2 linked regions of the Struthio camelus genome follow. The protein of the gene in region 1 interacts with the protein of each later gene in a biochemical or structural test. Links are inferred from orthologs where the notes say so. Each region holds a gene or a part of one and is shown in the gene's direction. Other genes may lie near its edges.

What was found.
Region 2: the proteins of SMURF1 (region 1) and PDLIM7 are reported together in a solved structure, tested with the Homo sapiens proteins (2 studies listed by BioGRID, with this or other methods). The link is inferred for Struthio camelus from reciprocal best matches to the Homo sapiens genes SMURF1 and PDLIM7.

What each region holds. Positions count from the first base shown.
Region 1 is NC_090956.1:4,661,704-4,669,068, forward strand, and holds the start of SMURF1 (E3 ubiquitin-protein ligase SMURF1), read left to right. Parts: upstream 1-4,358; 5' UTR 4,359-4,455; coding exon 4,456-4,510; intron 4,511-4,900; exon of another isoform or gene 4,901-4,954; intron 4,955-5,113; exon of another isoform or gene 5,114-5,172; intron 5,173-7,365. UniProt on the Homo sapiens protein: E3 ubiquitin-protein ligase that acts as a negative regulator of BMP signaling pathway. Mediates ubiquitination and degradation of SMAD1 and SMAD5, 2 receptor-regulated SMADs specific for the BMP pathway.
Region 2 is NC_090954.1:9,774,608-9,782,443, reverse strand, and holds the start of PDLIM7 (PDZ and LIM domain protein 7), read left to right. Parts: upstream 1-4,828; 5' UTR 4,829-4,946; intron 4,947-6,559; exon of another isoform or gene 6,560-6,640; 5' UTR 6,641-6,642; coding exon 6,643-6,747; intron 6,748-7,836. Other genes in the region: probable ATP-dependent RNA helicase DDX41, read left to right, coding at 76-212; DOK3 (docking protein 3), read left to right, coding at 1,030-1,086, 2,677-2,970, 3,392-3,485, 3,577-3,749, 3,831-4,577. UniProt on the Homo sapiens protein: May function as a scaffold on which the coordinated assembly of proteins can occur. May play a role as an adapter that, via its PDZ domain, localizes LIM-binding proteins to actin filaments of both skeletal muscle and nonmuscle tissues.

The sequences.
Region 1 (7,365 bases):
AGCTAAAAAGAGCAAGGGCAGAGCTGTCTGTCTTTTTTTCCAGCTTACCTGTGCATGCTGGAGAGGCCTGCCAGTGGTGGATAGTATTATGCAGAGCTCTGAGAGCAAGTGGATAGCTTAAACTGCAACCAAATGGTGCCCCTAAAGCCCAGAACATGATGGAGAAAACAACGTGACCCCCTCTTTAAGAACATGGGTAGGAGTATGCATCCTCCATAGCCACCAGCCTTGTGGAGAGCTGCACCATGAGCAAGGCAGAGGCAGCATGGCTTCGACTGATGCTGTTGTACAAACGCGGCTGGAGAACTGGGAACGGTGTCTGTCTGAACACAGCTGCCTGCTCGGCTGTATGTACCTGCCTGATGCCTTGTGTGTTTGGGAGGCTGCTGCCTCAGCAGGCGCGTGAGCTACCTGCAGGCATCTGCTTGCCCCTTTAATGAGTGGTGCTCTCCTCTAATCACCGCTGGCCCCGGGCACAGGTGGCAGTTGCCGCTTTGGCATTCAGCTCCAAAGGGTTGGAGACACCGACTTCTCGCATCACCCTCCGTCTCCCTGGCGTGACCCTCCTTCCCTTGCTGCTGCAGCCAGCTCACAGGCGCGGGGCGAAGGATTAGTCGGGGAGCTGTTCACGGGGTGGCTGCTTCCCAAAGGCAGATTAAGAGTAGCTTGACCCTGGCTTCTTGGCAAAGCCCCTGGCACCTTCCTCCTCCTCGGGTGTCCACACCTCGCTGCTGGGCGAAGCCGAGGCTGCAGCACAGGAGGGGACGGCGGGGGGTCTCCTGCTGCCTGGGCTCATCCTCTGCTTAGAGATGCACCAATAAGTAGTTTTTCTAATTAAAGCACCCTGCATCTGAACCCCAGAGAAGCCGGATGATGGCTGCTCCATCCCTGGCTCTCTAGAGCTCTACAAAGGCGGTGCTGGTGCCTGTGCTGGCTCCTTTGTCAATAAAGGACACCGTAAAGGGGGTAGGGGCTCTTCCAAAGTACCTTTATTCCGAATTATTCATTTTCTGCTGCCACAGGAACACTCAGCAACCTCCATGGGACCATGTAAATTAGTTATGGGGGCTCTGACTTTGTAAGACTTGATCGAAGGGGGTTTCGGTGGCAGTTCCCAGGGATGCAAAGCAGGGAGCTGGGGCCTGCGCTGCCCCTGACTCACCCGGCCTGCCAGGAGCCGGCTTGGGGAGTTACGCAAGCCGAAAACTGATGGCTGGAGAAAAGAAAGAAGAAATAGGAGAAACAGCAAGTTCAGCTCCCTGGAGCGTGGGGTGGGAGAAGCAGCAGCGCCGGAGTTGGCCAGGAGGCAGGAGTCTGTGCCCGGGCGAAGGAGAGTCCCAGCAGCGGCCGAGACAGGGGCTGTGCCGGGAACCGCGTAACTCGGGGCTGCGGGAGCCAGCTCTGCCGGCAGGGGATGGGACCGAGCCCTGGTTAGCGTGGCTGGGCAGGGGGAAAGGTCGGGGAGGTGGATTTGGGGGAAGAACGTGAACGGCGGAAAGCATTGCTTGAGTCTCCAGTTTTTTTGCTGCACCTGATGCTTGGCCGTAGGTTGTCGGAGGCTTTCTCTTCTCCGTCGCCTGTATTCTGCATTTTCTTCCTGGCATTTACGGAGTGGGGTTTCTTCCTCCTCTTTGCCTCGGAGGAACCGCTAGTGAGAGTGGTTCCCAGCTGATCTGTCGCTAGGCTCAGTTAAGATGCTGCAGACTTTGAGCAAACAGACTGTAACAGCTACAGCTCGGTCCCTCCGAGTGATGATCTGGAGCTGAAAACAAACAGCGAGGAAAGTGTGCCGCGGGGAGCCGAGACGCTGGGGACCAGCTCAGCGGCAGGCTGGAAATCGAGCAGCAGGGCTGTCGGGGCTAGCCATAAACATCTTTGCCGTGCTCCTCCGCCCTGAGCACGCTCGAAAAGTGAGAGCCCGACGCGCTCTGTCACTGCAGGGGACCCGCCTGGTCCTGAGCTGAGCTCTCAGTTAGCCAACGCCGGCACGCAGCAAGAGCAAGGTCCTGGGCGAGGACCGAAGGGCCTCACGCCTTCCATTAAACAGCACTGGGAAAGGATGGGCAGAGCAAAGGAATAAAAGCTGTGGTTTAAAACTGAAGATCCTCTCTGCTCAGCACAACAGCGGTACTTTCGAAATCCCGAATTAAGGCGTGCGCTGGTCGGACTAACGAACTTAGCCGCTAACCCTCCGCGTCCCTTTCTGCTTCCAGAGCCTCCCTGCGCGCGCGCCCCTTGCTTCGGGTCTGGCCGAGAGGCGGGGAGGGTGAGAAGCCGCGGAGCCAGCCCTGCCGCTGTCCCCTGGCAGTAGCCAGCGACGAGCTCGGCGCGAACGCGGTCAGGAGCGACGCCGAGCCCGGCACGCCCCGTCCTCGTCCCCGCTTCCAGTTCCATAAATCAGCCCGATCGGGGAACTAGGTCATCTCTTTGCCTGCAGGAAAAATAGCTCACGTTTGCTCTACAGTAGTATTTGCTACTTCTGTCTGGCTACGCAGGCCCGCATTGAGCCCGGCGTCTGCTCCGCGGGGACGGCAGCACGTGTCTAAGCAAACAGGACAACCTAGTCTCAGCCAGCTGGGTGTAAAAGAAGGCTGGCCCGGAGGTTTGGCGCAGGGAGGTTGGGGGATGCGCCGTGCCTCGGCGGACAGGGAGGATTTAGGGATCCTTTCAGGATTTTTCTTTCAGTAGCGATTTTGTTTTTGGCTGGCAGCAGAGGTGAGCGGGCTTGTTCAGCGTACACGCATCCTGGCATTGCAAATAGAAGTTGGTGTATGTTTTTTTTTTTTTAAATTTGTTAGTTCGTAAATCAATAGGCTGGGGACGGGTCACGGCAGAGGCGCAAGGACCAGGCCCCAGCGTTAACTGCTGGCCGACCAGGCATTTGGGGAAGCAGTGAGCAACGAGGTGCTCGGGGGGGTTGCATGGGGCGCGGGGGCCACGGCCAGGCTGCTCCCACGGCATCGTCTCCGGCCAGTGGCTGCGTCTGCGGGGGACCGCGGGCAGCCGGGTGGCCCCCCGGGCACATCCCGGCCTTGTGGGCGCGCGGGGACGAGCACCTGAGCCCGCTGGGGGCTGAGCTGCCCTCACCCCCAGACCCACGCACCAGGCTCTCGGGTTGGCACCGCTCTGCTTGAAACCTGGCCCCGTGTCCCCCCCCCCCCCAAAACATCACCCCTCTGCTGCACCCTGCGCCCTGCCACACTGCCCCGGCCCCCACCCTCCCTACTCCACCCACCATTTCCTCCCCTCCACCCTGCCCTGAGCCGCCCACACGCTCCATTCACCCCTCATCCCACCCCAGCCACCCTCCATTCACCCCTCATCCCACCCCAGCCACCCTCCATTCACCTCCATCCCACCCCCACGCACCCTCCATTCACCGCCATCCCACCCCAGCCACCCTCCATTCACCCCTCATCCCACCCCAGACACCCTCCATTCACCCCCCATCCCACCCCAGACACCCTCCATTCACCCCCCATCCCACCCCAGCCACCCTCCATTCACCCCCATCCCACCCCAGCCACCCTCCATTCACCCTTCATCCCACCCCAGCCACCCTCCATTCACCCCTCATCCCACCCCAGCCACCCTCCATTCACCCCCATCCCACCCCAGCCACCCTCCATTCACCCCCATCCCACCCCCACGCACCCTCCATTCACCCCCATCCCACCCCAGCCACCTTCCATTCACCCCTCATCCCATTCCAGCCACCCTCCATTCACCCCCATCCCACCCCAGCCACCCTCCATTCACCCCCATCCCACCCCAGCCACCCTCCATTCACCCCCCATCCCACCCCCACGCACCCTCCATTCACCCCTCATCCCACCCCAGCCACCCTCCATTCACCCCCCATCCCACCCCCACGCACCCTCCATTCACCCCTCATCCCACCCCAGCCACCCTCCATTCACCCCCATCCCACCCCCACGCACCCTCCATTCACCCCCCCCACGCACCCTCCATCCCACCCCCAGACACCTTCCATGCACCCCCACCCCCCTCCATGCACCCTCCAAGGGACCCCCGTGCCACCCCCACGCACCCCCTGTATCACTCCTACCCACCCCCTCTGCCGCCCCATCCACCCTCCGGGCCCCCATGTCACCCCCATTGTTACCCCCGCCCCGCCTCGCCCCCCCGCCGGGCCCCGCCGTCGCCCCCTCTCCGCCCCGCCGCCAGGGGGCGCTGCCGCTCTCCTCCCCCCCGCCCCCCTCCAGGCCGACCTCACCTCCATGGCGGCGGCGCGCGGCCGCGCCGCGCTGCGTGCTGACGTGCGCCGCCCCCTCTCCCGCGGGCGGCGGGGCGGGGGCGGCGCCAGCGCGCTCTCCGCGGCCGGGCCGGGCCGGGCGGCGGGGCTGAGGCGGGCGGCGGCGGCGGCGGCAGCAGGCCCGCATGGGGGTGCCCGGGGCCGGCGGCTGAGACCGGCTCCCCCAGCCCGCGCCCGCGATGTCGAACCCCGGCACCCGCCGGAACGGCTCCAGCATCAAGATCCGCCTCACAGGTAACGGCGCCGCCGCCGCCGCGCGGCCCTCCCGCCGCTTCCCCCCCGCACCGCCGCCTCGCCCGCCCCGGCCTGGCCGCCTCGGCGCCGGCGGCCGCCGCCCCCTCCGGGCCGCGGCCTGGCGGCAGGGCCGGGCGCCGCGAGGGGGCGAGGCCGGCCGGGCTGCCGCCGCTACCGGCGCGAACTTTCCCCGGGCCGCCCCCCCCCCCCCCATATATAATATATATATATACACATATATCCCTAATATATCTTGGCCCCCTGGCCCGCGCCGTTGCCCCCCGGCGGGGTGTCAGGTGCGCAGCCCGGCGCTGCGGGGGCCCCCGGGGGGGGGGGGGGCTCCGGGCCCGGCTCCCCCCCCCCCCCCAACCGCCGCCCGCCAGGACCGACCTCGGCCTCCTGCTCCGCCGCCGAGTTTCCCTTGGGCCGGGCAGGCGCTCTGTGCTGGGAGAAAATGTGGGTTTAGTCGCGGGCCAGGGCTGCCTCCTTCCTCCCCGGCCGCCCCTTCCCCCCTTTTCTCCTTCAGCAGATCGCTCATCCGGCTCCCGAAGTTGCTTCGCTGAGCGATAAGGGGAAGGGGGGAAGGAGCGATAAACTGCGCACCCGCGTGTGGATAAGCCAATTCTGTGTTGCACCCTCCAAGAGCTGGATTAAATCTTCTGGAAGCTGCCCCGGTTGATACTGAGGCTGCTTCCTTAATGGAAAAAGGGCAGAGTTTCTGAGGGCTACGGTGTGAATTATTGATAAATAAAGCCCAGTCCAGGCCTCCAAGGCAACAGGTGCAAACTCGGAGAGCTCTTTCAGCGAACCGCCGTGCTGCTCTGGGTCAGTAACGCTGATCTGCACGGAGTTGTTTCCCTGGGTGCGTTAGGCATCGTCAAATAATGGGGAAGCAGCACTCCTGCAGTTACACACAAGATTAACTTGCTTCTGGCATATAATGCAATCAGTCAGAAATAACTCCTAAAAAAAAAAAGAATCCTGCTTTTTTAATCATTTTTGTTTGGTTTTACACTGCTCTGGCTTTAAGAGACTAAAGTTTCTGGGAAAAAACATAAATAGGACAATCCTTTTCTTGGATGTGAAAAGGTTAAAAAAGGATTTAGGGTGTATGTTTGATCTGAAATTACAGTTTTGCACTGATGCGTGTTAAATGTCAAAGCAGTCCTTAATATAACTTATTTTATGCAACCCAATAAATAAAAATGTTGCAAGAGAAGTAGCTTCTGCCATGCTTACAGCCCTCCTCAACGTGAGGGTATTCTTTAAATAGCAGAAAAAAGCTGTTGGGTTTGATTTTTAAAGGAGGAGTTCTGCATCAAAATGCTGTTTTACTTCTAGCTTGCACTGTTCTCTCTTATTTGAGAACGTTTTGGACATTTTCTGGAATAGAGTGAAGGTTTGGTTTGTTAAATAACTGGATAGATTTTCTTGTTCATATATTCCCCCCTCCCCAAAGAAAAGCTGTACTGAAGAAACCTCCAGCTTGCTCAATCATATCTTCTGTCCTTATGAGCATTCAACCTGGGTGGTGTGCCAAAAATTGCTGTATTTAATCAAAAAATAAATTGCTTTGGGAGAGGTGTTGCTTTGGGAGAGGTGTAGCTTTGGAATCGTTAAGAAACGTGTTCCTGGCTTCTCTGGCAACTAGCTTCTCGACTTACCTGTTTCAAATAGCTGTAGCTAGCATGACTTTTTTTTTTTTTTTTTTTTTTTGGAATCTGTTTTGGTATTGGGAGATTTGAGCTGAATTAAATCAAGACACAGCGCATCTTCTGTTATGGTTTACTACCCGCATTGTGTTTCCTGCGATTATAGCCATTTCTGTTTTCCACTCCTGCAAGGAACTGTGTAAATGCCACTTAGTTTGAAGATGCCTGTGAGGGTTACTTTGTAAACGAGAAGTCGACAGTGATAGCATCTTCCGTACTTTTTGAAAGACATACTTTTTTCTTGCATGTTAGGAAGGTGCTTGTATTAGCACTGTGCTGGGATTATTTTATTTATGTGAATATATATATAAAAAAGTTCTGGCTCCTCTGATGTTTATCAGAAGTGATCTTCTAGCCTTATGTGGAATGGTGTCAGTCCTATCCTGATACAAATCATAATGAAGGAAAATGGCAAATAATGCATCCTGTTTAAAAAAAAAAAAAAAAAAAGAGAAAATGCGGTAATAGCAAGTAAGTTGGATGACAGATTAAAGTGACTTTATCTTCTGTGCGTCTCAAACATGGTAATCTCTCTTCGTATCTGAGTTTCCCCAAAAGCCTGTGCAAAGTTCCTTGTATTTCCGATGGAGCTTTCACCACTGCTAGAGATGTCTAGAATTGTTCCAAGAGACAAGGCCGTAAATATCTTTGGCTCTTACAAGTTAAGGTAAACTGAGCTATCACCAGGGTAGTGTAACAGTGAATGACTTATTTAAAAAAAGATGGAAATAATAAAAAGATATTTTAAGTTCTGCAGTGTACGTGCTTGAAAAGTCCACTGAGTGTGTTCTGGGTTGGGGAGGAATGCAATCCAAAGACCAAGGGACCTTTGCTGAGTGCCTCCCCACCTCCTTTTTCCTTTTTTTTTTTTTTTTCTTTCCTCCCTTTTAAGTGATGTGCTTTTGTCTAAAACCTTTTGTTTGCTGCTGCCGTCACTGTCCCCTGGGGAAGTTCCAAAGGGTTTATCAGCTCCAAGGCTTGCATCCTTCTTGCTCATGCTGTTATATCACCCAGAAGTACGTGTGAAAACTGCAGTCTCATTGTGCTAGATACCAGAGATGCTCCTGTTCCAGGTAGCTTGCAGATTAGGTGGCACATAGAGTTGGAAAGAGAGTGAAGAGGTGGGCAAAACATGTAACATTT
Region 2 (7,836 bases), on another chromosome or scaffold:
TCTGCTCCTGGGGTGGGGGCCACCCTCCTGCCTGGTGTGGTGTGGCTCTGCCTGACCTTGCTCCTCCCATTGCAGATGAACGGGGCTGTGCCTTCTGCGGTGGCCTGGGCCATCGCATCACTGACTGCCCCAAGCTGGAGGCGATGCAGACGAAGCAAGTCAGCAACATCGGCCGCAAAGACTACCTGGCTCACAGCTCCATGGACTTCTAGCCTGGGGATGCTGCTGCCCAGTGCTGCCTCCACCGAGGCTGGGAGAGAGGGCCGAGCTTTGACTCTCTTTGGGCAAACAGCGCTGTCCCCCCTGCAGCTGCCCTCATTTCCCAAAGCCCAGACCAGCCCGGACTGCAGGCCTGTCCTGCACCGCTGTGGCTCCTTTTCAAAGCATTTGGGCACTGGGGACTGTTGCCCGCTCAGCCTGCTGAAGCTCCTGCTCTAGGAGGAAATGTGAGGAGCTGTGCTGCAACAGCCCATTACATCAGCGGCATGTTGATGTGAAGCATTGGGCAAGCGGGTAGTGGTGCCTGTGGGGTGGCTGCTCTGTGGCCAGCTGTCTGCAGCCCCTACTCAGCTTCCCCGTGGTGGCATGGCTGGGGTCTGGCATTGCTCTCCTCCAAAGCCCCTGGATTCCTCTGGGACTGTTCCCCCGCAGCTCGTGTTGTGCACTCTCAGCTGGTGGCTGCCTCCTTTCTGCTGTGCTCTGACCAGGGCAGTTTCTGTTACCCGCAACTGTGCCCTGATGCAGCCAGGGCAGGGCAGAGCATGCTGTGCTCATGTCAGGCAGGCCCCTAGGAGCTTCCTTTGCTCTTGCTGCATGTGTTCTGCCCCACTGCCCTCCTGTGAGGGGGAGGGAGGATGGACACCTCCTGTGGCCCAGCCTGCCCCTCATCCCACACAGCAAAAAGGGGAAGTCGCTGAGAAAAGGAAGTCTGCCCCATTTAGTTGCTTCAGCTGCAGCAGTCACACTTCTCTGCTGCTGATGGTCTGAGTCCCAGATCCTTGCACTGGCTGCCAGGGCAGTGCTGTGCCCATGGAGAGACCTGTGAAGGATGGGATCCTCTATGTGCAACACAGCAAATTTGGAAAGGTAAAAGGTGGAGGGTGGGTTTGGGGTGGGTTGTAGAGCTCTGTCTTGCCCTGTTCTGCCTTGATGCTAGACCCTGGGGGAGGCCCTGACCGGATGGGGAATACTGGGTCCTCCACAGCTTCGGCAGGGGAACGACAGAGCCAGACCCCTTGGGTAGGGCAGAGAGGGCCCTGGCCTCTGTAGCTGTAACGGAGTGGGGCAAGGTGGCTCTCCCCACAGCTGAGGGGACTCCCCCGAGCAGGCCTCTGCTCACACTGACCCCCATGTACAGGGTCTGTCCCCTTGCCTGATCGCCACGCGATTCGCGATGAAACAATAAACGTGTGTTAATGACGCATAGCTCCGGTGCTTGTGTGCAAGTGGGGCAGCAGGGGTGGGAGCCCCTTGCAGCTCCTGGGGGTGGTGGGACCACACATAGGAAGTTGCTGTGCGCCAAGCCTTCGAAGAGCCTGACCGTGGGGGGCAGTGCTGTGGGAAAAGCCAGCCGCAGGGCTGGACTCGCTGCCCAGCTGCTCGGTGTGCTGAGCCCTTGGGGATGGGCACTGAGTGCCAAAACCCTCTGGGCACGTTATGGGTTATGTTACTGGAGTCCTGGTAGGAGCTGTGAGATGGTGCTTACAAGGCAGGTCCCACCACTTCGCTGACCGTGCCCAGCAGCATCCCCGCTGCTTCAGCGGGGTGGCTCTGCCCCTTCCTAGAGCCCGTGGGGTGCAGTCAACCCTCCGTGTGCTCAGTGGACGTGCTGGGCCACGGCTGTGCCTTCGATACTCTCACGGAGCTGCTCTAGTCTCCCTGCCTGCGAGAGCTGAGTCCTAGAGCTGAAGTGGGCAGACCCCTATGTGAGCAGAGGCCGATGCCCTGCCATGTAGGACGCAGGTGGGCTTACGGTGGCGGGTATTTTGGGTGCTCGGCTGCGCGTAGGTTCACTGGGGTGGAGGCCATGTTGTGCTCTTGAGGTGTGTGGGGGGGAAGCGCCCTCTCTATCCCATGACAGGCTGGGAAGGTGCTGGTACCACAGAGCGTCCCCTGGGAGGAAGCGGGTTGCTAGCTGCAGGGACTAACTGTACTTGGTAGGTGTGAGCTGCCTGCAGGAGCCCAAGCAGCTCAAAATGGCTTTAATTTGCATCATGGTCTGTCCTGAAAACAGCTCAAGAGGCTCAGCTGCAGCAGCAGCAGGCTAGCACTTGCAGCAGGGAGCAGAGGGCAGGATGCCTGGGTTCCCTTCCCAGCCGAGGGCGAGCGTGACTCACCAGGCGAGCGGAGCCGACCTCGCTGGAGGGCCAGGCTGGCCACCTCGCTGACCTGGCGGCTGGCAGCCCTGGCTTTGGGGCTGGCCTGGCCTGCGGGTGCTGGGGGACCTGAGAAGGCCCTGCTTGCTGTGTCCTCCCCCAGCACGCGCAGTGTGCCCAGCCCCGCCAGGGGTGCGGGAAGGGCATTGCGTGTGCCCGGCGTGCCCTGTCCTGCCAAGCATGGGCTGGAGCCCTTACTGTGCTGGCTGACGCGATAAGGAGGGCAGTGCCGGTGAAGATGCAGCAGGCAGTTGTTTGCTGACCTTTTGTTCCCCTTGTCTGTGCCCTTCCTGCACCCCAGAGGTTCTGGAGGAAGATGCGAGCGCAGCTCTTTGCTGCCAGCCCGTCCGGCGTGGCCCGGATGGAGAAGTTTGATGTGCGGGATGACGGCACGGTGCTGGAGAAGTCCTCCCTGCGGAGGTGCGCCCGCCGGGTGATCCGCCTCTCGGACTGCGTCTCCGTGGGGCCCGTCAGCACTGACAGCTGCCCCAAAGCCACCGCTGCCTTCTACCTCAACACCACGGAGAAGAGCTATGTGCTGGCGGCCGAGCAGCGGGACGAGTGGATCTCTCAGCTCTGCCAGCTGGCTTTCCAGGTACCGCGTCTTTGGGGTGAGCGGGGCCACGAGCAGTGGGGTGGGCAGGCTGCACAGCTGGGACCCCCCTCACCCTGCTCCTGGTTTGGGTGAGCCAGGGGGGCTCCCTCCCTTGGTCCCTGGCCATCACCTTGGGGTGGAGGGTGTTGCTGGGGCATGGGGCCAGGATGCAGCAGGAGAAGGGATGAGTCCCCTTGGGGGGACTAGTCGGGGGTGGTTTTGAAGGCAGGCCCCTACTGGGAGAGTTTCCACTGCACGTGTGCAGCAGGGAGAGGTGCTACAGCCCTGCTTGCAGGCCCTCGCGCTGCCCCATCTCTGCCCGCGCCTTGTGCCACCGCGGCATGTTCGGAGCAGCCCCAGGGCCGAGCTGCAGGACGAGGGTGCCCGGGGCGGGGGCCGCTCTCACATCCCTCTGTTTCAGGGTGCAAAGGAGGTGCCACAGAGCAGCGCCAGGACCCAGCCCGGCTCCGACGTCCACATGGAGGAGAACTCCCTCTACTCCTCGTGGCAGGACCGTACGTGCCATGGGCTGGGTGGCGGAGGGGGCTGGGGCGGGCAGCAGCTCAGCGTGGCAGGGCTGATCCCGGTGCCGTTCTGCTCCCGCAGTGACAGAGTTCCTGGTGCTGGTGCTCAGGACGGACGCAGCCGCCCGCTGCGGCCTGCACGGGCACTACCTGCTCGCAGCTCTCCCCCAGAGCCTGACGCTGAAGGACCCGCAGTCCCGCCAGCCCCTGCTCACCTGGCCCTACTCCTTCCTCCGCAAGTTTGGCCAGGACCAGGTAGGTGGTGCCCCGCTCCCTGACTTCCCTAGGGCAGGTGAGGTGGGCGCCAGCCCCTCACCCTGCCCTCCGACCTCGCAGACAGTCTTCTCCTTCGAGGCCGGCCGCCGCAGCGACTCTGGCGAGGGCACCTTCACCTTCAGCACCCCGCGGGCCCCGGAGCTCTGCCGGGCCGTGGCCACCGCCATCGCCTGCCAGCAGCAGGACAAGGATGCCCCGGAGACCCGGATCCCCATCCCGGGCACCGAGCCCCAGCCCCGGGGACCCGCCTCTGAGGAACCGCAGCCTGGGCCAGCCGCAGGGAGGGTGCAGCCCAGCTCCCAGCCCAGTTCCCAGCCTGCCCTGGGCCTCCTCCGCTTCCCAACCTCGGAGCCCGATGGCACCGGCCCCATCATCTACGCCTCCATCGCCCGGGGCCAGCAGCCCCTCTTCGGGCTGGGGCAGCCTGGCCCCAGCGAGCCCTGGGCCGCGGGGAAGCCGGCCGCCGAGCACCTCTATGAGAACATCTTTGCGGCGCAGCTGGGGCGCACAGAGGAGGAGGAGGAGGAGCACGAGGAAGGGCAGTGGGAGCTGGGGTGCCGGCAGGCCCCCGAGGGCCACAGCGGCGAGGCAGGCCCCATCTACGACAACCGGGAGGCGGTGGCGGCGGCGTGGGGCGGCCCGCAGCCCCCCGGCCCCCCGGAGCAGCGCTGGGGTCCGGCGGGGCGCTGTGCCCACGAGGAGCCCCCGGGGCGCCCCGGGCCCAAGCCGCAGGGCAACCTCAAGGCCAAGCTCGTCCGGCTGCTGAGCAGGGAGGCTCCTGCCGCCGGGCAGCGGGACTGGCTGTGAGCCGGGCCGGCCGGGCCTTGGCGATACGGTGAATAAAGAGGCTGCGCTCGAGCCGGCTCCGTCCTTGCTCGCGGGTGGGAGGGGGCGCCCGCGCTGCGCCTGCGGCGCCCGCATCTCGCCGTCAGGGGGCGCCGTCGTGCGCGCCCCGGCGCGGCGGGCGGTCGGCGAGCTGATTGGCCGAGCCGGCCGCCGGCACCGCCCACCCCACCCCCGGCCGTACTTAAAGGCGGGCCGGGCCGGGCGGGGGCGGTGCCCCGAGTTCGAGTCCCGCGTCCGGCTGCTCCGCTCCGCTCCGCTCCGCTCCGCTCCGCTCGGTCCGTTCGGCCCCGCTCCGCTCCGCCGGGGCGGCCCGGCGCGGCCCGGCCGCAGGTGAGCGCGGGGCGGGACCGGGGCTGCCAGGGGGCCCGGGCCTGGGCGCGGGGGCGGCTCATCCGGCTGGGGGCCCGCATGGGGCCGGGTAGGGGCCTGTGTGCGAGGAAGGCAGGCAGAGTGCTCCGGCAGGGCCCGTGTGGGGCAGCGCTGGGGCTCGGGGCCCGCCCCGACGGGGTGCCGCGGGTTTGGAGGGGGGGCCCGAGCTGTGGGAAAGGGGGCCAGTCCGGCCTGCGCAGGGGGCTGTGTGGGGCGGGGAGGGGGGCCCCGGGTCGGGGTCAGGGAGGCTGGCTGGCCCCGTCTGGACAAGGGGCCCGTGTGGGGCAGGGCTGGGGAACGGGGGGGGGGGGTCGTGTGGGGCAGGGGTAGAGAGCAGGGGGGCCCGTATAGGGCAGGGTAGGGGGGCAGGGGTAGGGAGTGGGGGGGGCCTGTGTGGGGCAGGGCTGGGGGCCCAGCCTGGCTGCCCATCAGGAGTGGGTGCCCCAGGGCCACCCAGGTGCCTTGCGCCAGCCCCATGGGACGTGGCCGTAACCCCTCGCGGAGGGGCTGTGTGGGCCCACCCCATCCCTCCAGATCACTTCTCTGCCCCCCACCAGCACCCTGCCCCAGGGCTGCCGGAGACCCCTGGCTGCTGGGGCCCCCCCAGCCCTGACCTGGGCGTGTGGGGCGCTGCCGGCCGCCTTGGGGCAGACCGCCACGGTCCCGGCCCCGAAGGACACCGCGCCTTGCCCCGGTTTGTGCGGCTGCTCGGTGCTGGGGAATGTCTGACACGCAGCCTTCACCCAGCCTTCCCGAGCGGGGAGCACGCTGGTGTCATCTTACAAGCCTTATATAGCCCGCCCGGGCTTGGGGAGAGCGGGGGCTCGCCGGCCCCCGGCCCTTGCGCCTCCACTGCCTCCCGGCTAGGAGCCCGAGGTCCCCGGCCCTCGGGGCGCTGGGTTTGTCCCTTCCTTGCGGGGGCAGGAGGCAGGGTCTCGAAGGGGCCCCTCAAGATCTGGGAGGGCTCCTCTTGGCTGAGATGCGGCTGGGAGGCTGGGGCCGGCCCGTGTGCCCCCCGTGCCTTGGCCGGCTGACAGCTGTCAGCGCCGTCCCGGCTGGCGCGCAGGGAGAGGCAGGGATTCCCTCCTCGCTGAAGCCCCGGCTCTGCGCGCAGAGATGGGCTCGCCTCCCAGGTAGCATCTGTTTGGCCAGCTGCTGCAGCACGAGCCTGGCTGCGCTGCCAGTCCGCTTGGTTGGCATCGCGCAGCTACTGTGCCGCTGCTAATTCACCCAGCGAAAACGCCTCTGGTCTCCATCCTTCCACACCCGCTGTTGCTTCTCCGTGGTCTGAAACAGTTTTGGCTCTCAGTAGCGTGAGCTTCCAGGGCGCTGTTGTGCGTACTGCAAGGGAGAGCGTGCCCCAGGTTTGGGGCAGGGAGAGCAGAGCCCGTGAGTGCACTGAGCGTGGCAGTCAGCTGTGTCTGGCTCTTTTGTGCTAGTCAGCATTAGCCTGGGCTCCTCAGCCCTAGGAGATGCTGATGGATTTGGGGTGCGTCTCTAACTGCAGTGTGGGATAGTCGGGGTGGAGCCGGTCCTGGAAGCGTGACCTGTCTCCTCCTGCCCCATCCTGCCAGGTGCTGGGGCCCCGCTCGGCTGCTCTCCCTGCGTTGTTCCCGTGCAGCGTAACACCGGGATCGCACCCTCTTCCTTTGCAGAGATGGGCGATGTGGAGTCCTACAAGGTGATCCTGGATGGCCCCGCGCCCTGGGGGTTCAGACTGCAGGGAGGGAAGGATTTCAGCATGCCGCTCTCCATCTCCAGGGTAAGAGAAGCTGAGCCTCGGTAACGCCCATCCTGTTCCTACCTCTGCGGGTAGGAAACTGTGGCTGCTGGGACCAGGTGACTGAGGCGGCAGCTGTATGGGGACGTGGATGAGGTGGGACCCTTGGAGTGCTGGGTCCTGCTGTGGTCTCGCTCCGCTTAGCCTCTACTGCACCACCCCGTTGCCTTATCGGCCCTCGTCTGGCAGGGGACGTGCGTGCCGGGGGTGTTCCGGGCAAGAAGAGCAGCAGAAATTTGAAGTACTGCAAAGCCTCTGCAGAGTCATTCTGGCTGCTGGGGGAGGTAGGGGAGGCCTCTTCCGGAGCCTGTCCGGCAGCTGGGGGAGGGGAGCCGCTCTTCTAGCCTCCGCGCCGTGGGGCTGGCCTCCTGGTCCGGACTGTGACGCTGGGCCTGGCCTCCTGGGGTCTGGGCTCGTGCAGCGGGCTCAGCCCTTCTGTCCTCCCTCCTGCTGCTCGGCTTCCAGCTCCAGCCCGCGTCCGAGCTCCCTCTGGCCCTGGAACGGGCAGAGAGGGGAGGAAGCCCACGCTGCTGCCGGCGCTGGGACGGTGGCCCCCGGCCCGTTTCCCCAGCGCCGAACGTGTGCGTGTGAGAGGCTTTGTGCTGCTGGCTGCTCGCAGCCGAGGCTCTTCGCGCGAGCCGCCCCTGGTGCGACGCTCGCCTGGACCAGGTGTGGTCCCTGTCCCCTTGCACGGGCGCTAGCGGGTGGCTCTGGCCGCGCAATTGCCTTATAAGCCTTGGAATGCGTCTGTCGTCCGCGCTGCTGACGCTCCGGCAGCTGGCACGGGAGGCCGCGTCTCGAGCGAAGGCTTTGCTCGCGGGCGCCGAGCGCTGCCTGGGGGCCTGCTCCGTAGCACGAGCCAGGCTCTCCGCGGCTGTCCCGGTGGGCGCGGGTCCCTGCAGCGCCCCGGCAAGGAGCGCAAACCCTGGGGGCACCGTGCGAGGCTGGAGCCACCGGTGCCGTCCCCCCGAGGCCTGCCGATCTTTGCCGAGCTGAGGGCTCCGCGCTGAGACGGCTTCAGCGAGTTTATTCTCTAAAAAATGTTTCTCTTGGCTGCGAGCCAGCGCCTAA